Macaca fascicularis: one gene and its partners. The protein of the gene in region 3 binds, or shares a complex with, the protein of the main gene of each other region. Links are inferred from orthologs where the notes say so. Each region holds a gene or a part of one and is shown on either strand. Other genes may lie near its edges. The genes, in order: TMEM67, AHI1, TMEM237, TMEM216, B9D1, TMEM17 and CC2D2A.

Region 1 (3,500 bases), on a different chromosome or scaffold from region 3:
ATGCCAGTTCAGGAAGAACGTTTTGTCACTTATGTTGGATGTGCCTTTGCTCTGAAGGTAAGTTTTAAAGGACAGGTTACCAAATTTAAAAGGCCTGCTAATGAACTAATAAGTCTTTAAAATTAAAATGCTTTCAAAAATCTTTGGTGTGAAATTCACTTTGGTTTTGAAAGAAAGCATTAATTATTTTATGCAGTAAATTTACTTTTATTTGTAGTAGATGCTCAGTCTGAAAATCTGCCTTAAATATTTTTTTCAAAGAAGCCATAAATTTGTATGGCTTATTTGATAAAATGATATTTCAGTATATAACTTTCCTTAAAGTCTGATGATACATTCACAATGGGACAAAATGTCTTCAGGCATGAATTTTGTCTCCATTAATCAAGGATAAAGTGTTGAGATCTTAAAGCTGTTTTGTCTGTCTCCAGATTCCTTTGCTCCTTTCTTCCTATGACCCCCATCCTCAACTCAGTGTTCTCTATCAATGTAGGTGAAGCTCTTTATATGCCTCTTGATAGTCCTTATCCCATTGTACTGTGAATATTAAGTGTCTCCTTTTTCCACTGGCTGGGAGCTTCTCGAAGTGAAGTATCCCATACTTAGATTTTTATCCTTTATTTGATCAATAATGCAGCAACTAGAAAGAATGCCTCAGTTTAAACATATTGCTTCTATAAATGAGAAAGATGTGTTTCAACAACGCATTCTGTAAAAATCAGAAATCTTAATAGCAGAAATAGAAAAAACAGACAGAGCATTCAAAAACTTTAGGAAAAACAAGCTATAGTTGAAAATATCTTTACTTATAAAGAAGTCAACTGATCTACAAAACGAGGTGTGCTTCTAGAATCTTTGGGAAAGAGTCAATTATATAAGTCCCTATGTGAGGAGGAAAAATGTCTCCTCTTTTCATATTCCTATTTTAAAGAAATAAATAAAAAGGGAAGGTAAAGTAAAATGTATATGAAAATTCTGTGAATTTGGTGATTCCAGGTTATCTGATGAGCTTCTAATGATCCCCTAGTGGTATTATAACTTCATGTGAATTCACTTATAAACGTATATGTTCTTGTGATAACAGTATGTTTCTTAAAGAGTCAATATTGGTTTTATAAGCAGGCTTAATGCTGGTACTCTTTCAGGTGTTTTATTATATGTCATTCTCAGGCACTACAATTTTTGCATAAGCTCATATCGCAGATTACAATAGATGTATTCTTTATTGATTGGGAGCGACCTAAAGGAAAGGTTCTTAAAGCTGTTGAAGGTAAGTGAAATATACATTTGTACCAAAATTCTTTTGCTATCCTTGCAGAGCAAAGGAGGTAGAATTCTTTTACTCATTTTATTTTTCTGACCAGGTGAGGGTGGTGTACGAAGTGCCACTGTTCCTGTAAGCATATGGAGAACATATTTTGTAGCAAATGAATGGAATGAAATTCAGACTGTGAGAAAAATTAATTCACTATTTCAAGTACTTACTGTCCTCTTCTTTTTGGAGGTATAAACTGTTTTGATGTGATTATATGCAACTTACATGTACCTTATAAATATTAAACTAATATAATTCCAACTAAGTTTTCATGACAGTGGAAGATTTCTCTAAAGGTTGAAATATTGTTGTGAAGCCATTAAAAAGGAGTGACTTTATGTTATATATTTTACCACAATTTTTTTGTTTTAAGTTTACCATCTTAAGCATTTTTGAGTGTAGAGTTTAATAGTGTTAAGTCAGCCAGGCGCAGTGGCTCACGCCTCACTTTGGGAGGCCAAGGCAGGCGGATCACCTGAGGTCGGGAGTTTGAGACCACCCTGGCCACCATGGAGAAACCCTGTCTCTCCCAAAAAATACAAAATTAGCTGGGCATGGTGGCACATGCCTATAATCCCAACTGCTCGGGAGGCCGAGGCAGGAGAAGCGCTTGAACCCGGGAGGCAGAGGTTGCAGTGAGCCAAGATCGCGCCATTGCATTCCAGCCTGGGCAAAAAGAGCGAAACTCCATCTCAAAAAAAAAAAGATAGTGTTAAGTACATTCGCATTGTCATGCAAAATCATCATCACCATTCATCTCTAGAACTCTTCATCTTGCAAAACTGAAACTCCATACCCCTTAAACAACCCTGTACCCATTCCCTGCTACACCTAACCCCTGGCAACCACCATTCTATAATACTTCCTGTCTCTGTGTGTTTGACTGCTCTAGGTGTAAGGAGTGGCTTTAAAACCAATAGTTTGTATCAGAAGCCCTCGGGGATCTTTTGTAAAATACCTATGCTCGGGCTCACCCTTAGAGACTATGTTTGATTTAGTAGCTTTGAGGTAACCCCAGGTATCTATATTTTGAAAAAGCTCCCTACTCCCTGATCCGTATTCTCCCCTGCATTAGAATCACTATTATAAGTTTGATATTTTTCAACTAATTTTTATTGAAAACTTACTATAGACTATGTTCTGTGCTAAGAGCTGGGGCTAAAATGAACAAGATGCAACATATTTATTATACATTTGCAGTTATTTCATGGATTTAGTTGAAATTATTAAAGAAAGTATTCAGTACTAAGTGTAAGACTGAACATGGAAACCGTTTATATGGGAATAGGTTTTCTCAGGAATTATCTGCTTAATTAAGATTGAATATAAATCATTAACTCTTAGGTCTGTCTGTCTTCCTTCTTTTTTCTTCTTTCTTTCCATTCTCTTTCCCCTTTCCCTTCCTTTATTTTTGTAAAACTGGTAGAAGACTGTTTGTATCCTTAGAGCCTTTAAATAATATGAGCAATACTTCCAAAATTCACTTGAAGTAGTATTTTGGTTTTTCTTAAATGAACAGATAAAATTTATATATGTTTATAGTTTACAATACAGTGTTTTGATATATGTATTCATTGTGGAATGGCTAAATCAAGCTAGTTTATCTGTTACCTCACATACTTCTTTTCTTTTTGAAGTTGTGTGTGTGTGTGTGTGTGTGTGTGTGTGTGTGTGTGTGTGTGTTTAGGAGTTTCCTCAGCTTTAAAAGATGTTACATGAAAAAGTTTTATAGTCAAGTTAGTTTGGAAAATATTGGATTCAGTATAATCATGTAGTACCTTTTACTGTAAAACTTCTCAGAGCCTTTATTCTACAAGGGTGGGAAGCATGGAGGTGAGTGTAATGGATGGACCAAATGTATTTAAACATAGATTATTTTTTCAAAGAACTTATGCCCTTTAGAAGACATTTTGTAATATACTGTTTTAAAGTATAAAAATGTTTAGTACAGTGCCTGGCACATGTCAAATACTCATGAAATACTAGTTGTTGGTTTCACTCATTGGTAGTTTACTAATGAAAGTTTTATCCTTTGAATTAAATTTGTATTCCTGTCAGTGTGTATGACAATAAGGTTATATTTGACCCTTAGTCATATTGAGAAGAATGCCAAATGAACTAACTAAATATTGTGTAATAAATACTTTGTAGTTAAGATACTGGATAATAATTATTTTTATCTAGA
Region 2 (3,500 bases), on a different chromosome or scaffold from region 3:
AGTTAACTCATTTCATCTGAAGTTACATTCAGAGATTGCTTATCAAATTCTGCAAGCATAAATTATGAGAGTACTCAAATGCTCTAAAATAGTATCACTGTGTCCAGGTGAAAAACTAAATAATCCTCCCAATAATTCCACATTGTCAAACATTAATTATTAGGTTTTTCTTTATATAACTAATCTATGCATAACTGAAACTTTGTTATCATGTCTTCTTTTCCTAGCCTGACACTGTTAGAAGCAATCTTCCCCATATTGAAGAAACTACAAGTGATGATGTAAGTGCTACTAACACTAACAACCTGAAGAAGACCATGAGAGTCGCTAAAAACAAATCGAGGAACACACAGTCAGCAACTGAAAATCCTAATGATGATGTTAGTGTAGAGGAAGACAAACGAGGAAAGCCAAATAAAAAGGTGGTAAAGACGGTGCCCCAGTTGACTACACAAGACATGAAACTGGAAACTCCTGAGAAGGAAGTTGATTCTACACACCAGAAAGCGCGTACAAAACCACAGCCAGGCATTGATCATCAGAAAAGTGAGAAGGCAAATGAGGGAAGAGAAGAGAATGATTTAGAAGAGGACGAAGAACTGATGCAAGCATATCAGCGCCATGTAACTGAAGAAATGGCAAAGGAGATTAAGAAGAAAATAAGAAAAAAACTGAAAGAACAGTTGACTTACTTTCCCGCAGATACTTTATTCCATGACGACAAATCAATCAGTGAAAAAAGGAAAAAGAAAAAGAAAGTTCCAGTCTTCTCTAAAGCTGAAACAAGGTATTTTTACATTGATAAATGTAAAATATCCTCTTAGAAAAACACTCTATTATTATCAGGGTTTGAATATTATCTGTGGTTTAACAAAGAAAATTCTTAGGCTTTTATTTGGAGACATTGCCACTAAGATAAGAACACCTAGCTTTTACTAACACCTTACTATGTACTAGGTGCTTTACGAGAATTAACTCATTTATTTCTTATGACAATCTTATGAGGAAAAGTAATATTCTTCCTATCTTGCTGATGAGGAAACTGAAGTACAGAACTAGTAAGAGGCTGAGCCAGAACCTTGTCTCTATCCTGAACTACTCACTTACATCTGCTTTCTTTTTTTTTTTTTTTTTTAATTTATTTATTATTATTATACTTTAAGTTGTAGGGTACATGTGCATAACGTGCAGGTTTGTTACATATGTATACTTGTGCCATGTTGGTGTGCTGCACCCATCAACTCGTCATTTACATCAGGTATAACTCCCAATGCAATCCCTCCCCCCTCCCCCCTCCCCATGATAGGCCCCGGTGTGTGATGTTCCCCTTCCTGAGTCCAAGTGATCTCATTGTTCAGTTCCCACCTATGAGTGAGAACATGCGGTGCTTGGTTTTCTGTTCTTGTGATAGTTTGCTAAGAATGATGGTTTCCAGCTGCATCCATGTCCCTACAAAGGACACAAACTCATCCTTTTTGATGGCTGCATAGTATTCCATGGTGTATATGTGCCACATTTTCTTAATCTAATATGTCACTGATGGATATTTGGGTTGATTCCAAGTCTTTGCTATTGTGAATAGTGCTGCAATAAACATACGTGTGCATGTGTCTTTATAGCAGCATAATTTATAATCCTTTGGGTATATACCCAGTACTGGGATGGCTGGGTCTTATGGTACATCTAGTTCTAGATCCTTGAGGAATCGCCATACTGTTTTCCATAATGGTTGAATTAGTTTACAATCCCACCAACAGTGTAAAAGTGTTCCTATTTCTCCACATCCTCTCCAGCACCTGTTGTTTCCTGACTTTTTAATGATCGCCATTCTAACTGGTGTGAGATGGTATCTCATTGTGGTTTTGATTTGCATTTCTCTGATGGCCAGTGATGATGAGCATTTTTTCATGTGTCTGTTGGCTGTATGAATGTCTTCTTTTGAGAAATGTCTGTTCATATCCTTTGCCCACTTTTTGATGGGGTTGTTTGTTTTTTTCTTGTAAATTTGTTTGAGTTCTTTGTAGGTTCTGGATATTAGCCCTTTGTCACATGAGTAGATTGCAAAAATTTTCTCCCATTCTGTAGGTTGCCTGTTCACTCTGATGGTAGTTTCTTTTGCTGTGCAGAAGCTCTTTAGTTTAATGAGATCCCATTTGTCAATTTTGGCTTTTGCTGCCGTTGCTTTTGGTGTTTTAGACATGAAGTCTTTGCCCATGCCTATGTCCTGAATGGTACTACCTAGGTTTTCCTCTAGGATTTTTATGGTATTAGGTCTAACATTTAAGTCTCTAATCCATCTTGAATTAATTTTCGTATAAGGAGTAAGGAAAGGATCCAGTTTCAGCTTTCTACTTATGGCTAGCCAATTTTCCCAGCACCATTTATTAAATAGGGAATCCTTTCCCCATTTCTTGTTTCTCTCAGGTTTGTCAAAGATCAGATGGCTGTAGATGTGTGGTATTATTTCTGAGGACTCTGTTCTGTTCCATTGGTCTATATCTCTGTTTTGGTACCAGTACTATGCTGTTTTGGTTACTGTAGCCTTGTAGTATAGTTTGAAGTCAGGTAGCGTGATGCCTCCAGCTTTGTTCTTTTGACTTAGGATTGCCTTGGAGATGCGGGCTCTTTTTTGGTTCCATATGAACTTTAAAGCAGTTTTTTCCAATTCTGTGAAGAAACTCATTGGTAGCTTGATGGGGATGGCATTGAATCTATAAATTACCTTGGGCAGTATGGCCATTTTCACGATATTGATTCTTCCTATCCATGAGCATGGTATGTTCTTCCATTTGTTTGTGTCCTCTTTTATTTCACTGAGCAGTGGTTTGTAGTTCTCCTTGAAGAGGTCCTTGACATCCCTTGTAAGTTGGATTCCTAGGTATTTTATTCTCTTTGAAGCAATTGTGAATGGAAGTTCATTCCTGATTTGGCTCTCTGTTTGTCTGTTACTGGTGTATAAGAATGCTTGTGATTTTTGCACATTAATTTTGTATCCTGAGACTTTGCTGAAGTTGCTTATCAGCTTAAGGAGATTTTGGGCTGAGACAATGGGGTTTTCTAAATATACAATCATGTCATCTGCAAACAGGGACAATTTGACTTCTTCTTTTCCTAACTGAATACCCTTGATTTCTTTCTCTTGCCTAATTGCCCTAGCCAGAACTTCCAACACTATGTTGAATAGGAGTGGTGAGAGAGGGCATCCCTGTCTTGTGCCAGTTTTCAAAGGGAATTTTTCCAGTTTTTGCCCATTCAGTATGATATTGGCTGTGGGTTTGTCATAAATAGCTCTTATTATTTTGAGGTACGTTCCATCAATACCAAATTTATTGAGCGTTTTTAGCATGAAGGGCTGTTGAATTTTGTCAAAAGCCTTTTCTGCATCTATTGAGATAATCATGTGGTTCTTGTCTTTGGTTCTGTTTATATGCTGGATTATGTTTATTGATTTGCGAATGTTGAACCAGCCTTGCATCCCAGGGATGAAGCCCACTTGATCA
Region 3 (3,939 bases):
TCAATTTTAACTGCTATTCTTATAATTCAAGGATTTTTCACCTTTAAAATTTCAGAAAATCCCTAAATTTTTCAGAAGAGTTTCCAGAATCATTGTAATTTTGCAATGATACTAGTTAATTTTTCTACTGTCTTCGTTTTCCATTTTTAAAGCTCAATAATGAAATTACTGTAAATTATGTTTACCTTGGCACAGGTGGAAGGGCTCGTGGAGGACGCTGTGGGGGAAAAAAAGAAATTTGCTTGTAAGTAAAAGCCTAGAGCATCTTTACTTCATGTATCCCAAACACCATAAAGCTATTCTTTTTTTCCTTTTTTTTTTTTTTTTTTTGAGACAGAGTATTGCTCTGTGGCCCAGGCTAGAGTGCAATGGCACGATCTTGGCTCACTGCAACCTCCATCTACTGGGTTCAAGCAATTCTCCTGCCTCAGCCTCCCAAGCAGCTGGGATTACAGGCACCCACCATCATGCCCGGCTAAGTTTTGGTTTTTTAGCAGAGATGGGTTTTGCGATGTTGGCCAGGCTGGTCTTGAACTCCTGACCTCAGGTAATCCGCCCACCTTGGCCTCCCAAAGTGGTGGGATTACAAGAGTGAACCACTATGCCCGGTGAAACCACTTCTTTCAAAAGTCTGTTGTTCAGACATGACAGAAAAATATAATGGATCGGACCAGGATCTTCAAATCTTTTGATAATCTTGTTCATTAGTGAAACCTGGGAGGTACTGATGAGAAACATGGGCAATTTAAAATTTGTTCTCCCATTCTAAATTTCATATAAAATTATTTCCTTCCTACATTCCTTTCTATCTCTAGGCCAGGCCCTTTTCTAAGCATTAGGAGTACACTAATGAACAAAACGGAGAGAACTCTGCTTTTATGGAACTTACATTCTAGTGGTTATTAGAAACAAGGTTAAATATATATAATATATACTATATATTATATGCAGCATGTGTAACATATATATGCTATATTTAAGACATATATCTTGTATACATACCTTGTGTATATATACACAAACACAAACACACAAAACGTAATGAATGAAGGAGACTGAGTGCTACTTTTGTTAGGGAAAGTTTCTCTGAGATATTTGAGCTGAGACCTGAATGAGAAAGGAGCAACCGGAACAAATGCAAAGATTTTTAGGTTAAATTGGGCCTGGAATATTTCAGGTAAAAGGACAGCAAGGCTGCCGCACAATTGCCAAGGAGGTAGGCAGGAGCCAGATTTAGTTAGGGCCTTGCAGACCAAGGCAAGGAGTTTGGATTTTGTTTTAATTCAATGGGAAACCAATGGAAGTTTTAAACCACATACTAACACAAATTTTTAAAAGGCCACTTGAATATACTGGGAAGAATGCGTTTTAGGGCAGAAAGAATGGTGGGGGGAACCCTTCTAAACGCTCATTTATATGAATAAGAAAAGTGTTTGCAGTCAGAGAGCATTACAGTTGAGAAGTATTTTCAGAATTAGATACTAAGAGAAATGCCTAGAAGCCAATTTAATGTTCCAAGTATCTCATGCTGCTTGCATAAGACATTTATTCAAAAGGGTTAAATTTTAGACATTTTTGTAGTTTGTCCCATTTAGCAATCCATTCGTTCGAACAGTAGATTAACGCAAGTACTACAAGATTAGGACGAGGCAAGCTCCCGTAATACCATCCAGTAGTCAAAATCACAACTGGAAAAGAATGACAATCACGGGAACGCGCTTGTTCTACAGATGCTACGAAACGCGCGCGATCGATCCAAGGACTCAGTTCACGTAACTGATTTCAAAAGTCCCGCAAAAATGACATTCCACCCACCCAGAGACCCAACCTCTACTCCTCAAAAGTAGGACGGCTCAACTGAAGACAAAAATCCTAACAACTAAAAGTAGCTAAGGCTCGCTTACCACAGGATTCTTCCCCATTCTGTGTTTAGCCGGCCTCGGCAGCCGCCGGCCCGCAAGCACAGGGCGCCCCACCCCTCCCGGCTCTGTCGCGCGCGCAGGCGCAATGCGTCATCGGGCAGCGCCGCCGGGTGGGTAAGTTGGGGTGAGAGACGCGCAGGGACCTGGATTGGCCAGTCCAGACTAGCCCTGCCAAAAAAGGGGCCTCTGAGTTGGGGTAATGTGCCCAGGAGCAGAGATTCGGCGACCGTGGCGCTGCAATCGCAGCTTTCCCGTGGTTTCCTAAGTGGTCGCGGTGATTTGTTTGCGGGGAGCGAGGCGTGAGGGAAGACCTTGGTTAAAGGACTCCGCAGGCAAACAACGATCTTTTCTAGGCAGCTACTGCCCTCTCGGAGGGGGAGTCTATGAGAGGCCTGGCTGGAAGCCCCAGCACCCGCCGGGCGCTGGGCCTCAGAGAAGTGAGGCGTCGTCGTGGCAACGCGGGCTCAGGTACCCGCAAACTTCATGCCAGGCCTCTCTCCCCTACTCCAGGAGTTCGGTCCCGGCCTCGCCTGGGTCTCCGTCCCACTCCTGTGAATGCTGGAGGGGCGGACGCGCGCACCCCATGAGCAAGGCTCTCCCTTAGTGATCCCCAGCTCGTTAGCGCCCCCCCCCCCACACACACACCCCCACCCCGCCAAGTGTAGCTTTTACCCGCCACCCCTCGAGGCCGACGCGCCCCTCGCCGCTCACCAGGTGGCCCTCCTCCAGCCGAGCCCCCGAGTCAGCCCTCATGGTGCTCTCCCCGCGGGGCTTCCCCGGCGCAACCGCCGGCGGCCCGAGCCCAGCTCCCCGCGACGCTGCAGCCTGCGGGACGCCGGGGCTTCGTGGCGCCTGGCGTGGCCGCCTCCCCGTGAGCCAGGTCCCCGCCCGCCTCTGCCCTGCCAAGCATTGCTGGGTTTGGGACGAATGTGTTTACTCTCTAGGACCAACGAGTCTGTGCGGGCCTGGGTGTGTGGATGTGTATTAATATAGGCAATTCTCACATTTTCTCCGATTGCTTACCCTTCATCCCACAACTGTGTAAATCAAATTTGGAAAAACTTTTTCTTGAAGAACCTTAAAATCAAATCCGACCTCACATAAATATCATTACAAACTACTTAATTTGCATAGTTTTATTTGGTTAGGTTTTTTTTTTTTTTAAGATAACTTTCACTTTAAGTAACAGAACTACAAATATTTTGAATCATGCATTCTATTTTACAGTTAAGAAAGAGATGGGAAAGATGGAAGAATGATGTGGATATGGAGAAGAGAATGATGCAGAAGATGAACAGATACAGGGACAGGGAAAGCGCCTGGAAATCTCAAATCTGGGGGAAGAAAGAGAAACAGGACTTTGTAATGGCATCCTAATCTTGTTACCAAACAAACGGGGTTTGTTGCCCTATATGCACAGAAGCCAATATTATGATGCTGGTTTTTTGAGAAAAGTTGTTATTGCGAGTCAACTAACAAGGAGACAGGAGTATAGCTCTAATCTGTCTCCCTGTGCTGGCTTTAAGACAGTATTTTTATTAGAAAAGGTTTAGGGAATGGATTCTGGGATTAGTAAATGATTGGTGGAAGGAAAGAAGCCATCTGGAAAATCTTTTGGCGTTCGCGGTTACCTCTTCATGTCCCTTCATGGGTCGCATGTGCAAATTTTGGAGGGAGTCAGTATGAAACATGGGGGAAGACTCGAGCTGTAATGCCAGCAAGCTCATTTTGTACAGACTTCAGGTAGCCATCCGTGTTAGTCCTAACCAATTTCAGCCAGTTTGCTTTATTTTGTTTTTTAATCTCACAATAGAAGAAGTTTAGGCGTTTTAGCAAATTGTTTTTTATCTGCTGTCCTGCACGCTCAAGAATTTCTGTTAGTCCCTGGTTTAACTCTGAGACACGGTTTCAGTCTTGTGATTCTTCTATATATAGGTCTCCTGGACTAATCCATTGCCTTTTCTAATTTAGGCATGCATGTAGATATTGGCTGTAAGGAAAATTCGTGTTTGTCACA
Region 4 (4,199 bases), on a different chromosome or scaffold from region 3:
TAGTGAGCTGAGATCCGGCCACTGCACTCCAGCCTGGGCGACAGAGCAAGACTCCGTCTCAAAAAAAAAAAAAAAAAAAAAAAAAAAAACCATTTATTTCAGGGATGACATATTCTAACAAATAAGGGTTTTGCTCTGTTATTTCTGGGATTATAAAACTTGTCCTACAGGGCAAGCATGTTGGCTCACGCCTGTAATCCCAGCACCTTGGGGAGGCCAAGGCGGGAGGATTGCTTGAGGCCAGGAGTTTCAGACCAGCCTGGGCAATGAGGCAAGACACTGTCTCTACAAAAAACACAAAATGAGCCAGGCATGATGTCGCATGCCTGTGGTCCCAGCTACTCAGGAGGCTGAAGTTGGAGGACTGCTTGAGCCCAGGGCTTCAAGGCTGCTGTGCGTTATGATCGTACCACTGTACTCCAGCCTACGTGACAGAATGAGATCCTGTCTCAAATAAGTAAATGTTTAAAAAACAAAATCCGGTCAGGTGTGATGGCTCACACCTATAATCCCAGCACTTTGGGAGGCCAAGACAGGTAGATCATGAGGTCAGGAGATCGAGACTATCATAGCCAACATGGTGAAACTCCATCTCTACTAAAAATACAAAAACTTGCCAGGCATGGTGGTGGGCGCCTGCAGTCCCAGCTACTCAAGAGTCTGAGACAGGAGAATCGCTTGAACCCGGGAGGCGGAGGTTGCAGTGAGCCGAGATCGTGCCACTGCACTCCAGCCTGGCAGACACAGTGAGACTCTGTCTCCAAAAAAAAACCAAAAATCCGGCCAGGTGCAGTGGTAATCCCACCACTTTGGGAGGCTAAGGCAGGCGGATGACAAGGTCAAGGGATGGAGACCATCCTGGCCAATATGGTGAAACCCCGTCTCTACTAAAAATACAAAAATTAGCTGGGAGCAGTGGTGAACGCCTGTAGTCCCACCTACTCGGCAGGCTGAGGCAGAAGAATCGCTTGATCCCGGGAGGCAGAGGTTGCAGTGATCCGAGATCGTGCCACTGCACTCCAGCCTGGCGATAGAGAGAGACTCCATCTCAAAAAAAAAAAAAAAAAAAAAAAATCCTACAGAGATCCTTATTCAGAGTATTGTTAGGGATCTTAGTACTGATCTGTGCAGGATACGCTGCCTGCCCTGACATGGAGTTACAACTGAACCTGCTCCCCCAAGAATACTAGTGAGAAGAACCAGGCACTCCTTTTGCTGTTAGGCAGCTGGGAAGGAATCATCTAATATCCCATTCTATTGCCCATCTCTAGCCTTACAGAGCAACAAACAGGTAAATCCTGACCCAATGTATGAAGCAGCAACTTGAAACTTCAGAGAGGGAGTAATGGGATATACAGATCCAGTCTCTGATAGTCAACCTAGGTGATGTACTTTTCTTGTTAATCAAGTTAGAGATACCAGCTTGTCTCATAAAGAGTGGAAATATTCTCTGGACAACACTCACCAAAAAACAGGCGAATTACTTCAATTCCAAGATAAAGGAGGAGCATCACCACATCCAGTACTAGGTTAGCTGTTGGATATGGTAGCAGAACACCTGCGAATACAAAAGCCAGAGTTTGCAAATAGCATAAAACAGCATCCACAAGAACTGCCACACACTTGAGACATCAGTCTCAAGGACATCAGTCTCAGCTTTCCATGAGCTAGTTAGTGAAATGTGGGCATTATTACAGCTGCAGGATACATAAACTCACAGTGCAACCCAGGCTCATTATTATGCCATTTTACTCCTAACTCCAAAAGACTCTGGGGACTCCTCTCTCCAGAATGAGTGGATGCACATGGGTACACGGGCCACTGAATAGTTTCTAAGGGTCATCAATGGGCTTACAGTGGAGCTCAGCAAAGACCAGTGATGTGGGCAGAGTCAGAATGGAGAAGCCCACATTTCCCAAACTCAAGAAATTCTTGCTGAGGGGATGCCATACTCATACTCAAAGAAGCCATCTGATGAGGAGGCCTGCCTTGCAGCGACAAAGAACCGCAGGGGGCAGAAAAGAGCGGAAAATAAGAAGGTTCTTGGTCGGAGTTGGCTCTGAGCTGAAGTGGGGAAGGGGTGCTGTCGTCAAGCCCCATGCCTTCCTTACCTTTATACAGAAATATGAAAAGTTCCAGCAAGAAATAGGTAGCATTATACCACGCGTTCAGAAAGAACAGGATTTCCAGCGGGGTGGAGGACAACCGTTTACCTGAAACAGCAGCACAGAAAAGTGGGATGGGCAGGAAGGCAGCTCCCTCTCTGCTCCTATGGGTTGGTGTCTAACTGGGGAAACCAGACGCCGCAACTAATGGGACCGGCCACCCAGGGGCACTTCTGGTTGCTGATAATGAGGGTACGGGGTGGATGTGGAGGAGGCTTCCCTCGTTTCCCAGGAATCACCGCGAAACTCGACTCTTCGGCTTCAGGAGTAAAAGTTAAGAGGTAACTCGCAGCTGACAGACATCTCAAAGATCTCACCCTGTCACTATTTGGGAGGGGAAGTTGGGGCGTGGAGACCAACAGATTCGTACCTGAGCCATCCTAGAAGTGGCCCAGCCAAGGATCTGCGGCTATTTGAGCCACGCACCTTGAAACCTTCAGGGACCCAGGGTGGGCGGGTCCGCGGAAGCCCGCTTTGGACCAGGGAGGCGCGATGTCCCTAACGCTACAGAATGGAGGGTTTAGGTCAAGCTCTGGGACAGAGGTGCGAGGGAGGGATCAAAGGGAAAGGGACCAGCGACTCACACACCTCCGGAATCTCACCTCGCGGCGCCATCTTCAGTCCCCGTGGAAACTGCGTAAGCTGCCACAGTTGCTCCCGGAGCAGCGCGGCGCTGCCGGAAACAGGGACTGAGCGGCCGGGGTTTCCGGCCCCTCTGCCCGCCCGCGGCACTCTGTGGTCACCCGGAGCGGGACGAGCTCGGGCCAGGCCGCAAGTGGCCCTCGCTCGGATGTCCCCTCTCCAGACCTAAGGGAAAACAGTGACCGCCCACGACGCCGTCGTCTGCAGGAGCTCGGGGTTGTGGGGTAGGACCCTGGAGGCCCTTGGGCTACCGGGCGTTGGGCGGAAGTGGCCAGTTGTGACAATGTTACCAGGAGACTGGCAAATAGGTCCTACTCCCACGATTCCCATTTTTCGACGGAAGACGAGAAACGGTGTGAGCGACGGATCTCTGCAAATGCGGGATGGGAGTTAGCATTGGTCTTTTCTGCGGCCTATTTACCTACCAGGTAGAGACACTAGGGAAATAGAGCATCCTTTCCAGGAGCACACGTAAATAAACTGAAACGAGTCACCACGCGATCCCTAAAGCGGTGCAGTGGGAGCTGAGAGGACAAAGTGCTCCCAGGTGGAAATCTAAGTCAGTTTCCAAGAGACGGCCTGTGAGCTGGGCTTCAAAGCCTGCCTGATTCGGGTTTGCAGCGGTAAGAGCGTGTTGCTGGCCGGGCTTAGTGGCTCACGCCTGTAGTCCCAGCACTTTGGGAGGCCGATGCGATGGATCACCTGAGGTCAGGAGTTCGAAACCAGCCTGGCCAACATGGCGAAACCCCGTCTCTACTAAAAATACAAAAATTAGCCAGACGTAGCGGCGCGCGCCAGTAGTTCCAGCTACTTGGGAGGCTGAGGTAGGAGAATCGCTCGAACCCAGGAGGCGGAGGTTGCAGTGAGCCGAGATTGTGCCACCACACTCCAGCCTGGGCGACAGTGAGACTCTGTCTCAAAACAAACAAAAAAACAAACAAAAACGTGTTGCTGCAGGCAGGGAAGTGCAAAAAGAAGGGTTTTGAGAGTACTCAGGTTGACTTGACTTGGCTGTTAGCCCGTTGTCAATCAGGGTAAAGCCGGAAACAGATGGCACGCTCCAACCAGGTAACCTGAGGAAGGTGACTAGGCTTTATTTTATTTATTTAATTTTATTTTTGAGACGGAGTTTTGCTCTTGTCACCCAGGCTGGAGTGCAATGGCGCTATCTCTGGTCACTGCAAGCTCCACCTCCTGGGTTCAAGTGATTCTCCAGTCTCAGCCTCCCAAATAGCTGAGATTACAGGTGCCCCCCACCACACCCAGCTAATATTTTTTTGTATTTTTAGTAGGGACGGGGTTTCACCATCTTGGCCAGGCTGGTCTCAAACTCCTAACCTCAGGTGACCCGCCCCCCCTCGGCCTCCCAAAGTGCGGGATTACAGGCGGGAG
Region 5 (3,500 bases), on a different chromosome or scaffold from region 3:
GAGGTTGAAATCATCAGGGGCCGAGCTGAAAGCCCTGTGAGGCTGCTCTGCTTCTATCTCTCCCTTATTCCTAGGGCAGCTCTTTGAGGTCTTAACCCAGTTTGGAGAGATTTATCTGAGGCCCTCCTCCCAACCCCTTGGAAGGCTCTGAACATCAGTTTTTCTTGTGTCCTGGGCCCAGGGAGGCTGTCAAAAGTCTTGATCAGTCTCTCAATCACCTCTATTGAAATCAGCAAACACTCCCAGAGGAGACAGGATTGGGGTAACCTCTCTGGATTTCTGTTCTCCTGGATCTTGCCTGGTAAATCTCTTCTACTTTGCTAGCTCTCTGATGCCTTTGAGGTAGTTGCTTTTTGTTTTTGCTTTTGTGTATTTCATTTACCTCTCCTACCTGTCCTCGGCAGGAGAAGACTGGTCCAGTACCTACAGTACCTATTGCACTGTTCTAGGAAGTCGATTGCAGCTTCCTGCTCATGGATGATGACAGCAGGATGGAATTCCCTGCTCAGGAGGACCACTAGGCATTTTCTGCTCCAGACCCTCTACACTGTGGTGAGCCTAGGCCCAGGCCACGTGCAGTAGAAAGGCCTAGACTGTGAAATCAGATGGGCCTGAATTAAAATCTACACTTGGCCACTAGATGGAAAGCAGAAGGCAAATGATGTCATTTTTGAGTGTCAGTTTCCTCATATGGGAAAAGAAATGGAGAGAAATCTCTCCAGCGGGTATGATTGGGAAGCTCGGATGAGTCCACACAGTGAAAGTATTCATAGTCCCCATGGAGACTAAGCCCAGGCTTTGTGCACAGTAGGCACTTATGAAGTGCAAGTGAACGATCAGAATGGTTAATAACCACCAGCCAAGGTAGAAAGTAAGCAATGCCAGCCAGGAAGCCCTTGGGAAAGAGGTTAGATACAGGACGCGGGAACGGTATCCAGACAGATGGATCAGCGTGAATAAAGCTCAGATGAAGGAACTTGAGGGACTAGCACAGAAGCAGCAAGTGCCAGGGTCTGGCCGGAACACAACACACCATGGGAAGTCAGCAGGCACAGAGTCAGGCCTCCAGGCCAGACAGCCGCAGCCCTGCATGCCAGGGTGGGGAGCCTGCCTTTTACAGGCGTGGCCACTAGGCCTGATGCACTCTGAACTTACAGAAGGCCAGCTGCACAGCCCGTAGCAGATGAAGGGGGTGAGCGGGAATGAGGAAGAATAGGAGGCAAAGGGACAGATGGCGAGAGAGAACGTTGAGGGCTGCTTCAGGAGCCCAGGTGACAATCTGAATGTGAACAGTCAAGGGCTGGATGAGGCAGAGGCTGTCTTGGGGGTGCTGTGTGAAAGCTCTGCCACCCTACCCCGCAGGGCCCCTGCAGACTCACAGCCGTAGGGGTTGGTGCTTTTAAAGGTGACATCAATGGGGAAGTTCCACACCAGTGCTTGCCGCACATCTTGGCTCTTGGACGTGATCTGTGAGATCCCCTCCTCCAGACCCTGTGGGGACAGTGACAGAGACGGCTGGATTCAGAGCAGAGCCAAGCTGCTGCGGCTCCTCCCCTTATCTTCAGCAGGCAGTTGGGAGGGCTGTTTCCTAAGCTATCTTCTCCCGGTACACTAACTTCCAAACAAAGGGGGCTAAGAGATGATGGAGTACCTCTTAAGCCTGTTCTATGACAATGCCGTAGCATGACAACCCCGGGAGGCCAGCCACTCTCCTGGGCCCAAGGGCACTAGATCTGTTCCCAAGCTCTTGCCCCCCTGAAGGAAATGGTCCAGCAGTGCTTGCACTCTCCTGCATCCCCACCCTCACCCGAGTATCCCCATCGGTAAATATAGATGTATTTTCTCCATCAAAAACAGTCCTTTTTCAATTCCGCTGCTTCTTCCACCCACCAATCCATTCTCTGCTCCCTTTATAGCAAAACTGCTTCAAAGAGCTGCCACAATTACCGGCTCCAATTCCTCCCCTGCTATTCTTTTGTGACCCCACTCCAATGTGACTGCTGGCTCCAGCACGCTACCAAAGGGTCTTCTCCAATAACGCCTGTGACCAACAGTGCTAGATCCAATGGTCCTTTCTCTGTCCTCGTGTTACTTGACTCATCGGCGGCACCTGGTGCAGCTGCTTACTCCTTGATACACTGTCTTCCCTTGGCTTCTGGGTCTCTCCACCGCACAGGGTGCCCCCTGCTCTGTGGCTCTTGCTGGTTCCTTCTCAGTGTTGCCGTCCTAAGGCTGCATCTTTGGCCAGCTTGTCTACCTGTACTTGGTGATCTCATCTGTCCCATGGCTTTCAATGTGTTCTAGATGTCGATGATTCCCAAATTCAGGTCTCCAGCCTGGTCCTCGCCTCTGCACTCTGGATCAGCACCTCCTCTTGGATATCCAGTGGGTGCCTCAACCTTAACCCACACCAGGCTGAGCTCCAGGTAGCTCTCCCCAATCTGTTCTTCTCACTGAAAGGCAGCTGCCCACTTCTAAGTGCTCAGGCTAAAAGCCCTGCTGTGAATCCTAACTGCTCCTTCTCTCAGACCTCACATCTATCAGAAGAAGCCAGCGGCTCTATCTTCAGAGTATACTTGCAGTCCAGCCCCTCCCGCCACCCCACTGCTGCTGCCCTACTCTCCCATCTCCACTGCTCTCAGAGCCAACTGGGTTGCCCGCTCTTGCCCTTTCCCCGAGTCTATTCTTGTCGTAGAAGCCAGGGAATCTTCTAAAAATATAAGTCAGATCACTTTCTTCTCTGCTGAAAGCTCTCCAATGGGATCCCATCTCCCTCTGAGTAAAGGTCACAGTCCTTACTCTGACCTTCTAAGTTCTACAAGACCTGCCCAGGTGCCCCTCTGCTCCAGCTCCAGCCACTCTCCTGCTGGCTTGCTCTCCAGTGGCCACACAGCCTCCTTTCTGGTCCTCAAACATGCCTGGCAAGCTCCTGCCCCAGGGCCTTTGCACTCTCTGCTCTTTCTGCCTGGACAGTTCTTACGGGTTTCCACATGGCTTGTTCCCTCACCTCCTTCAGGTCTTTACTCGAAAGTTACTTTCTCGGCAAGGCCCTCCCTGGCAGCCTTAGCAAGATCGCAGCCTCCCTCTCATCACTCATCCCTGTCACTTCCTGGCTTGGTCTCCCTTTGGCACTTCTGGCTTACTAACATCCTAGAATATGCACTCCTTATTATCTGACCCCCAGCAAGAACATGCACTCCGGGAAGGCAGGGGCTTCCGGTTTGGCTTTGCTCACCCCTGCATCCCCGGCACCCAGAAGACAATCAGTGAAGGGAAAAGATGGATTATCATCTCAGTTGTACAAACAAGGAAACTGAAGCTCAGAGGGCTTAAATAAGTTCAGCCTCCTTTTCTTTTCTTTTTTTTTTTTGAGGCAGAGTCTCACTCTGTCGTCCAGGCTGGAGTGCAGTGGCGCGATCTCCACTCACTGCAAGCTCCGCCTCCTGGGTTTACGCTATTCTCCTGCCTCAGCCTCCCGAGTAGCTGGGACTACAGGCGCC
Region 6 (4,200 bases), on a different chromosome or scaffold from region 3:
AATATGCAAAACTGAGAAGCAAGATGACAAAGGGAGTGTCACATCTAGAAAGTGGTGCAATAAGATGCACAGCTAGTGCTGCCTTGTGACTCTAAGATCTACCTCCTTGAAAAGTTTGCCTGTGGCAAATGTGGCTCGGCTCCCAAGCCAAGACAAAGTATAATTGGAGTGCCGAGGCTAAAAAACAAAATACCAACGAGACTGGTCGAATGAGGCACCTAAAAATTGTGTACAGCAGGTTAAGGCATGGCTTTTCTGAAGGAACACCACCTAAACCCAAGAGGACAGCTGTTGCAGCAGGAGTTCAAGACCAGCCTGGCAAACGTGGCGAAACCCTGTCTCTACTAAAAACACAATAATTAACCGAGTGTGGTGGCGGGCGCCTGTAATCCCAGCTACTCGGTAGGCTGAGGCAGAAGAATCGCTTGAACCCGGGAGGCGGAGGTTGCAGTGAGCCGAGATTGTGCCATTGCACTCCAGCCTGGGCGACAGAGCAAGACTCTGTCTCGAATAAAAAATATATATATATTTGGATTAGTCACACAATAAATGTTCCGATTTAAAAAAAAAAAAAAAGGCAAAACTCTCCTTTGCTGTTAGAATTCAGGAAAGGTCAGTTATGAGTGAGGAGGGGGTTTAGTGACTGAAAGGAAATAGGAAGGGGGAGTTTCTGGGAATATTGTAACGTTTCTTGAACAGGGTGCTGATATATTAAGTAATATATCTTAGAGAGAAAGCTAGAAAATACAGAAGTGTTTAAAAATTTTTGAATCACCTACAATCCCACTATCCAGTGATAACTGTTAATATTTTTTTCCAGTTTTTTTTGAAGTCGGTGTGCACATGCTCTCTCCTCCCCTCCACTCATACACATAAATTTTGCTAAATTAGGTTTATTCTCATTTAGTTTTATTTCTGCTTTATTTTTACATAAACTATATCATTCAATATTCTTTGCAAGCATTTTATAAGCAGCTGAAACATACTCCATTGAATGCATATGCTCCAGTACATTTAATCAGTTGCCCATTGCTCTATTTTCTTATTAAAAAATAATCAGTCATAGTATCTCTCTCTCACACATACCCCTACACCTCTAGACATTCTTTAAGCTCTGCATTCATTCTCTATTTCCCTCCAGAAAGGTTGTACCGATTTACAGTTTCACTGGCAAGATATGAGGGCTCCTTGTATCGCAGTCCAACCCCAGCTCATTTCTTAGTATAGGTTTGTTTTTAGGATGGTCGGGCTCAAAGCAGAACTAAGAGATCTGCCGTTTTGGACACGGCCGAGGCACGCAGCTCCCGGGGCCTGGAACGCGCTCTGAGTACGCCGGTCCCTTCAAGGTTGCGCGGGCTCCCGACGAGACCCGGCCCAGCCGGGCACCCCCGCGCGCTCCCGGATCTCGCCGGCCTCGCGCCGGCCGGTTGCCATGAGAACCACGGAGCCTCGGAACGCCCGCAGACTAGCCTGTATCTGAGGGGGCGAGGGATACCGAGGCCCAGGCATGGAGCTGCCGGATCCGGTGCGCCAGCGGCTGGGAAACTTCAGCCGGGCTGTGTTCACTGATTCCAATCGGACCGGTCCGGAGTACAGTGAGGGTCCCGGTGAGTGACCGAGGCCGGCGCAGGGGGTGTGGCCTGCTGAGGGCTTGGCGTGGGTTTTGGAGCGTCCAGAATTTGCCCGTACCTAAAATGGCGATGTCGCCTTCAGTCAGTTTCCCGCAGTGCGGGCCAGAGCCTTGGAGGAGGGGCCGGCCGGGGCGGGGAGCTGAGGCGCTGGCGGCCTCCGGCCGCGGGCTGGGCCTGGTCTGCACGCGCTAACGCCTGGCCTGCTCCGTGCAAGCCCGGCAGCTGAGGTGGGGCCGACCTCTGTGCCACGCAAGGCCCATCATGGCTCCTGGGAAACCCCAAAAATAAAAAGATAAAAGCCGCCCTTGCTGCACAGGCTAGTCCCCCGCGCACCGCGAGAGCGAAGGCCCAACTTGCTTTTCCTCTGCGGCGCCCGCCCCGGCTTTTCTGTCCAGGATGGCGAGGAACAGCCCAAGCAATCCCCACCTCCCCTGTCCCCACCCGCCGCCCAGGGAGCAAATTTGCCTTTTCCCTTTTCCTAGCAGAACAAGTATGTTCCTAAGCAAGGCCATTTTCTGGCAGAAAAGATTAGGGGGAAAAAATTTTTTTTTTAAGAGTCCTTTCAAACCACCATCCACTCCCAACTGGCATGTGCCATACTAGCCGGACGTTCAACAAAACTCACCCCTTCCCTGCCTTCTCCTCCTCCTCCCCTATATGTAACTCTTACCATAAGGTAAGAAAATACCATAATGCCTCTGCATCCTTCAACTTGATGACAAGTGATAACACAGTTTCCTCCAGAACAGGTTCCTCCTCCTACATCATGATGGTAGACAACACACTGTCAACCAAACCCGTGTGGTTTCCATCATTCAAGTCTGCTGGGAAATATAAATCTTTTCCACTGCTTGGTTTTACAGAATTTTTAAAAGGGACAGAAAAGTAAAGGCAGTCCCCAAAGCTGCATTTTGTCGTCTTGATCACTTGCCTATTCCCCAAATGTAGGCCTTTATGATTTAGGATGTACAGAGAAAAATGTGAAAAAATTAGGTTTCACGTTTCTGGTTCCAAGGATGAGGCTTAATGAGCACTAACGTCTGATAATACAAGGTAAAAAGACGTTTTCTGAAAAGGGCCAGATAGTAAGTACTTTAGGCTTTGTAGGCCATATGGTCTCCACGGCAGCCACTGACAATAGTTATTGAATAGGCATGGCTGTGTTCCAATAAAACTTTAAGGATATTGAAATTTGTATTTCGTATGGATTTCACGTATGAAAAAAATATTACTTTTTTAACCATTTAAAGGTGAAAAAACATTTTTAGCTCATTGACTGTACAAAAACGTTTAGGCAGCTGACCAGTTGTTTACCTATCCCTGATTTATATTGTATGTTTTAATTTAAATTCCATTTATAGAACTCAACTTGAACTTTTGCAAAATTCAGTAAATGTATATCTTATGCTTTTAAGGTTCATTTACATATTAATTTGATTTTCATTTCCATGATTATAAGTTTGATCTGCTGAAATATGGACATAGCATAACCTTTAAGATGTTAACACACAATACTTCTAACATAAAAACCGTTCTTTGCAAAATTTGACTACAGTTTCTTCTCAAAGGTACTGAAATGTTCTGCTTGCCCAATTTATTATTCTTTCCCGTATTTTGTTCTTTGTGGATCAGAAGTAGGTTTGATTATTTGTACTGTAATAACAAATTTATGTAATTACCATGTCCACAGCATTGTGCTGTTGCTATCAGAAAGATCCTAGGCTGGTGAGTTGTCTTCAGATTTAACAGATTTTAAGAATTCATTCATTTATCAGTGGTAATTTAATAAGCAGTTGCAAGCAAAAGTAGATCATAATAATCAGGCATATTTTTGGAGCTAAAAGAAACTATTTTGCTGCGAGAGACCATGACTGTTTCTTATATTTTAAAATTATTAAATGACAGATAAAAACACTCAACTATGGAGAAAAGGAGAAATAATGTTCTTAAGACATTTATTTTAGGACCTTTAAAATCTTACGTGTAGAACAACTGATTTCAATATATGTGTCCGCTCTTAAGAATTTAGTCAAATTTAGGATGTATTTTGTAGGGTTCAATTTTAAAAATCAAATTCTTAATTTAGGACCCTTCTGTCTTACATAAAAGCAAAAAGTGTTATGGAATCAACCTTAGGTAAATGGAACTCATGTATCACAAATGGCTATACTAGTAATGTCCTTATGACAGTATGCTTACATTAATTCATTCTTATGTGTATTTGATATTCACTGCATATAAAGCAAGATGCTAGATTCTATGAGGGTCTCAAATTAGGGTGGGACATGGTGTGTGCTTGCAGATAAGTAGATAAATAGAAGAGAAGAAGGAAAGGGGACTAATATTTGTTGAGTGCCTACTAAGTGTGCCCAGCACAGTGCTAGGAAGAAATAATTCATATTGGCTCTAATTCTCACAAGCAGCCTGTAAGGAAGTTTTAATTTCACTATTTTACAGATGAAGAAATAGAAGCTCAAAGAACTTAAATAATTTATATAAAGTCTGACATCCAGGGTCACAGAGGTTTGGGGAGCTTGGGTTTGCTTGAACTCTGAAGCCCGTGATCTGT
Region 7 (3,936 bases), on a different chromosome or scaffold from region 3:
AAAGTACACAAGAGTTCTCTAATAAACAACTCCGGTCATTGCAAACTGAAAGAAAACCAAAACAAACAAACAAAAAATCTGTGAAATATTTTAGTAACTAAAAAAAGTTCTCTATAAGTTAAAAAACGCTTTATATGAAATAAAAAATAGAAGTAGAAAATGAAAAATGTAATGGGATTTTCTTTTCTCCTCATTCTTTCCTGATCATTTCCTTTAAATGAGTTTCTAAGGAAATCAAATGACAACGAAATTTACTTTTTATATGAACACTGTTGCTAAGAAAACATAAATCAGTACTGCATGGTTTTAATATGCAGCTTGCCATCATCTTATGCATTGGTACTTGTTAATATATTCCTACTGACAACATCAAAATAACTATGATTTACTGCACACTTATTTTGTGCTAACTCTAGACATATGTTCTCTTTAGTCCTCACAATAACATATCTGGCTTAGCAGTATGTGCCCCAATTTGTGTATGAATAAACTGAGGCTCTGACAGTTTGCATGATTTGCCCAAGGTTATAATTATTAAATGTCACATCCAGAACTTGACCCCAAGACTCTGATTCCCAAGTCCTCCCTCACTCCACTCTACCCCTTTGTCTCACCATTTATTCTTACTTTTGTAATGGCATCAATAATTATTCTATGCTTTCCAGAATAGCCCACTATTCTGGAAATATTTACAGTTGAAAGCTGTGAAGCACTGGTGAGAAAAGGCTTAGGCTACATTAAGTCAATTATTTATTTTACTCAGTGCAGAAAACCAAACATTTTTTTCAAGGAAAGTACTGACACCTTCATCTGAATAAATGGTCTATTCTTAAGAGTCATCAGTGGATCAGAGCCATACCTGTAGGTTGAGATACAATGCATCTCAACTCCATATTGGTTGCTTAAAAAATCATGCAATATATATGCCCTACTCCAGGATGGCAAAAACATGGGTTTATAGGAAGAGTGGCCCACGTATTTCTTTGCCAAGGAATATGTGGACCTGAGTTCCAACTTCAGCTTTTTTTATTAGCTGTGTGATCTTGGAACAATGTCCTCCCTTCTCTGAGACACATTTTTTTTTTTTTTTGTCTGCAACATTGCAATCATACTTCCTACCTTGAAGGATGATTAATTTATAAGGGCTAAATGATGAAATGTGTGTAGCAAAATGCCTAGCACAGACTGGGCTCTTAATATTGGTAGGTTTTGTTAATAAGAAAAAGTGATTGTGGGGAGGGAAAGTGGAAAAAAGGAATGAGGAGGGAAAAGAGCTTGGGGGATAGAAGAGGAGTCATGAAAAAGACCTTAGGTGATTTTCAAGCCCACCCACCTTTGGCTCCAATCTTCAACCCCCAGCTTCCATAACTCATGTTCCATCTCTCGTTGCCTTCAGCCAGGCCCAGGGCAGTTGCCTTGCTGTTTCCATGTATGGTGCTTCTGCAACCTCCTGCACTTCTACCCAGGAGTATTTTCTTCCTCACACCGTGAGAATATTTTTCTGTTCCATCCTGGAGCTTGGACACCTGGGGAGGTGCCACATACATTCTTTTGGAATACATTGTCTTATTCTATAAGTTATTCCAGCTGCAGTTTCCCTTAGCATAAGGTTAGTGACAAATAGCTTTATAGAATCATTGAATCAGCTCAATATAATATACATTGGCTTTGAAGAGTACATATGGGGACCATATTTGAGCTGTGTTATATGATATATGGCCAGTGCATTTACACAATGTGGTAAGTGCTGGAAGCCCCTCCCTGGATGTCATCCCACTGTGCTTTCAGTGTTTTATAAATCTCTTATGGCACTTAGCTCATTGTACTCTTATCATGTGTTTATAGGTCTATTTTCCCAGCAAACTCTGAGCTTCTGACCTGGTCTAATTTATGTTTGCACCCTCTAAACTTAAGTTCATTGCCTGGTGCATTGTTGATGCTCCATAAATGTTTGAATGAATGACTCTATAAGTGGGCTCTAGGAGATATATATATTTGTGTATATATAAATATATACAGAGAGAGAGAGACAGAGAGAGAGAGAGAGAGAGATTTCATGCTGGCACTGAATTTATTTGCAGAAAAGGTTATATGAAAATGCAATAGCAAACATATATCTTATTCGACTTTATTAGCTTTTCATAGCACCTCTTTGCAATGAGGGGAAACAAACAGTCAGCTTAAGTTGTAGCCAGTAGATTTTCTTGAAGTCTTTGGACAGCACAGCAACTCTCAGCACTGTGGTTAGTAGCCCTTTCTCTGTCTAATACCAAGAAAAGTGTATTTCGCAGTAACTAGTGCTTCTCACCTTAAGCCAGTTTGAACTAAAAGGCCCGTAAGTGCAACATGCAGCTAATGGTTCACAGAGCTTTTCACTCAGGGCTTGTGATGAACTGGACTTACATTTCCTGCAAACCAGATACCAGATAGCAGCTCAAATCAAAGCTGCCAAGTAATGGTCTATGTTCCCATTTCAGAAAGTAAAAACATAAATAATGATGAGAGCCCCTAAATTTACAATTCATTAAATCCAGTCTCATGGTATCCGGGAGAGACTGAATTTCAAGCCGGGTAACTGAAAACAGGAAATCATTGTTGCAGCCCAAAGTCCGGTTAGGGACTGATTTACCTTAAGAAACTTTACAAAAGGCACTTTGCAGATTCTGCTTTCTAGGATGGAAGTGGAGAGAGATGGTGCTGTAGAATCTTTTAAAAGGGTCCGGAGGGAAAGGCTGAGTGTTGGAGATGCCCCTGGGCTCCTCCCTGGGAAGCTGCAGCCATGTCTTGGAGCAAAAACACCAGCTTAGCAACCCGTTCCTAAGGAAGGTCACTCGGTGGCTTTTTTTTTCTTTTAAAGTGACAGGTTACTTCCAGTAGTGGAGTACAAGCATGCTGGGTAAGCAGAGACGCACAGCCTGCTGGAGAAGGACTGAGAGAAATCAACATGGGCAGCACTGCAAATTAGATTAAGCCTTAAGAGCCGCCCCTCCCTCATGTCATCTGGTCGTCTTGCATTTCCAGTGAAGAACAGGCTCAGAGGTGGGGCGATTTAGAATCTTAAAAGATCATCATTACATGGTGAAGCTGTCTAACGTGGCAGCAGCAAAAGCTCTGTGGAGGTCCTGCAGGGTACCAGCAAATGTTGCGCTCAAGTGTTTTCCAGTTAAAAGTGGAAGGTTGAATGCACAAGTTTAATTTTTGCCTATTCTCTGAATCCCACTGCAATTCCTAAAAACGGATATAAATGTTATGGCTCAAAACAGTTGAAAAGAAAAAAAAAAAAGAGAGAGAGAGGAAAGAGGCAAAGTAGCTGGAAGAGTAATAGAATGAATGGAGCCAAGGAAACCACACTCCAAATAGACTAGTGTGTATGTGCACATGTGTTTGTGTGTATCTGTATCTGTGTGTATTTTGTGTGTACGTTTGTGTGTATGTGTATTGATTGTATTCTTGATGCTCTGGCATTTGGAGCCTTGATCCTGGAGAAACTGATTCTCCTAGGTTAGCTAATTTCTAGAGATAGCAAATGATTCCCCTGAAATATGCAAAGTCTTATATACAAGCCAGCCAATCCAGAGCCCACACAACCAACCATCTCCATTTTCAAACTCTCACACACTAAGCCAATATTCCTCCTGTCCCAAGTCACCCCAGGTCCAGATACCAGACCACTATAGCCCAGAGAACACCACGATTATTCAAGCTATCTAGTCCTAAATTTACTCAGCACCCTACCCTGTGTCACCTATTCCTTCCTGGGAAAACCCTAGTAAAGGCTCTGCTCTGTACTCTGCTGTCTCCCTTCTGCCTTCTGACCAACACTGGTTCTTCCCTATGTGGTCCTGTGTGGCATTCCATGTTCTATGATTTGTATGTGTCTCCCCAAAAGCATGTATTGGAAACTTAATCCCTAATACAATGTTGTGGGGAGGCGGG

The links.
Region 1: TMEM237 (region 3) and TMEM67 share a complex: the UniProt entries of both Homo sapiens proteins name them as parts of the tectonic-like complex. The link is inferred for Macaca fascicularis from reciprocal best matches to the Homo sapiens genes TMEM237 and TMEM67.
Region 2: TMEM237 (region 3) and AHI1 share a complex: the UniProt entries of both Homo sapiens proteins name them as parts of the tectonic-like complex. The link is inferred for Macaca fascicularis from reciprocal best matches to the Homo sapiens genes TMEM237 and AHI1.
Region 4: TMEM237 (region 3) and TMEM216 share a complex: the UniProt entries of both Homo sapiens proteins name them as parts of the tectonic-like complex. The link is inferred for Macaca fascicularis from reciprocal best matches to the Homo sapiens genes TMEM237 and TMEM216.
Region 5: TMEM237 (region 3) and B9D1 share a complex: the UniProt entries of both Homo sapiens proteins name them as parts of the tectonic-like complex. The link is inferred for Macaca fascicularis from reciprocal best matches to the Homo sapiens genes TMEM237 and B9D1.
Region 6: TMEM237 (region 3) and TMEM17 share a complex: the UniProt entries of both Homo sapiens proteins name them as parts of the tectonic-like complex. The link is inferred for Macaca fascicularis from reciprocal best matches to the Homo sapiens genes TMEM237 and TMEM17.
Region 7: TMEM237 (region 3) and CC2D2A share a complex: the UniProt entries of both Homo sapiens proteins name them as parts of the tectonic-like complex. The link is inferred for Macaca fascicularis from reciprocal best matches to the Homo sapiens genes TMEM237 and CC2D2A.

The regions. Positions count from the first base shown.
Region 1 is NC_088382.1:103,447,012-103,450,511, forward strand, and holds part of TMEM67 (meckelin), read left to right. Parts: coding exon 1-57; intron 58-1,170; coding exon 1,171-1,270; intron 1,271-1,364; coding exon 1,365-1,504; intron 1,505-3,500. UniProt on the Homo sapiens protein: Required for ciliary structure and function. Part of the tectonic-like complex which is required for tissue-specific ciliogenesis and may regulate ciliary membrane composition.
Region 2 is NC_088378.1:39,505,506-39,509,005, reverse strand, and holds part of AHI1 (jouberin), read left to right. Parts: intron 1-227; coding exon 228-787; intron 788-3,500. UniProt on the Homo sapiens protein: Involved in vesicle trafficking and required for ciliogenesis, formation of primary non-motile cilium, and recruitment of RAB8A to the basal body of primary cilium.
Region 3 is NC_088386.1:97,454,546-97,458,484, forward strand, and holds the start of TMEM237 (transmembrane protein 237), read right to left. Parts: upstream 2,801-3,939; 5' UTR 2,676-2,800; coding exon 2,634-2,675; intron 2,391-2,633; exon of another isoform or gene 2,012-2,390; intron 1,990-2,011; exon of another isoform or gene 1,923-1,989; coding exon of another isoform or gene 1,905-1,922; intron 218-1,904; coding exon 186-217; intron 1-185. UniProt on the Homo sapiens protein: Component of the transition zone in primary cilia. Required for ciliogenesis.
Region 4 is NC_088388.1:12,650,324-12,654,522, forward strand, and holds the start of TMEM216 (transmembrane protein 216), read right to left. Parts: upstream 2,801-4,199; 5' UTR 2,781-2,800; coding exon 2,768-2,780; exon of another isoform or gene 2,754-2,767; intron 2,214-2,753; coding exon 2,112-2,213; intron 1,559-2,111; coding exon 1,466-1,558; intron 1-1,465. UniProt on the Homo sapiens protein: Part of the tectonic-like complex which is required for tissue-specific ciliogenesis and may regulate ciliary membrane composition.
Region 5 is NC_088390.1:19,101,099-19,104,598, forward strand, and holds part of B9D1 (B9 domain-containing protein 1), read right to left. Parts: intron 1,492-3,500; coding exon 1,380-1,491; intron 1-1,379. UniProt on the Homo sapiens protein: Component of the tectonic-like complex, a complex localized at the transition zone of primary cilia and acting as a barrier that prevents diffusion of transmembrane proteins between the cilia and plasma membranes.
Region 6 is NC_088387.1:59,409,879-59,414,078, forward strand, and holds the start of TMEM17 (transmembrane protein 17), read left to right. Parts: upstream 1-1,400; 5' UTR 1,401-1,507; coding exon 1,508-1,607; intron 1,608-4,200. UniProt on the Homo sapiens protein: Transmembrane component of the tectonic-like complex, a complex localized at the transition zone of primary cilia and acting as a barrier that prevents diffusion of transmembrane proteins between the cilia and plasma membranes.
Region 7 is NC_088379.1:14,621,825-14,625,760, reverse strand, and holds the start of CC2D2A (coiled-coil and C2 domain-containing protein 2A), read right to left. Parts: upstream 2,801-3,936; 5' UTR 2,630-2,800; intron 1-2,629. UniProt on the Homo sapiens protein: Component of the tectonic-like complex, a complex localized at the transition zone of primary cilia and acting as a barrier that prevents diffusion of transmembrane proteins between the cilia and plasma membranes.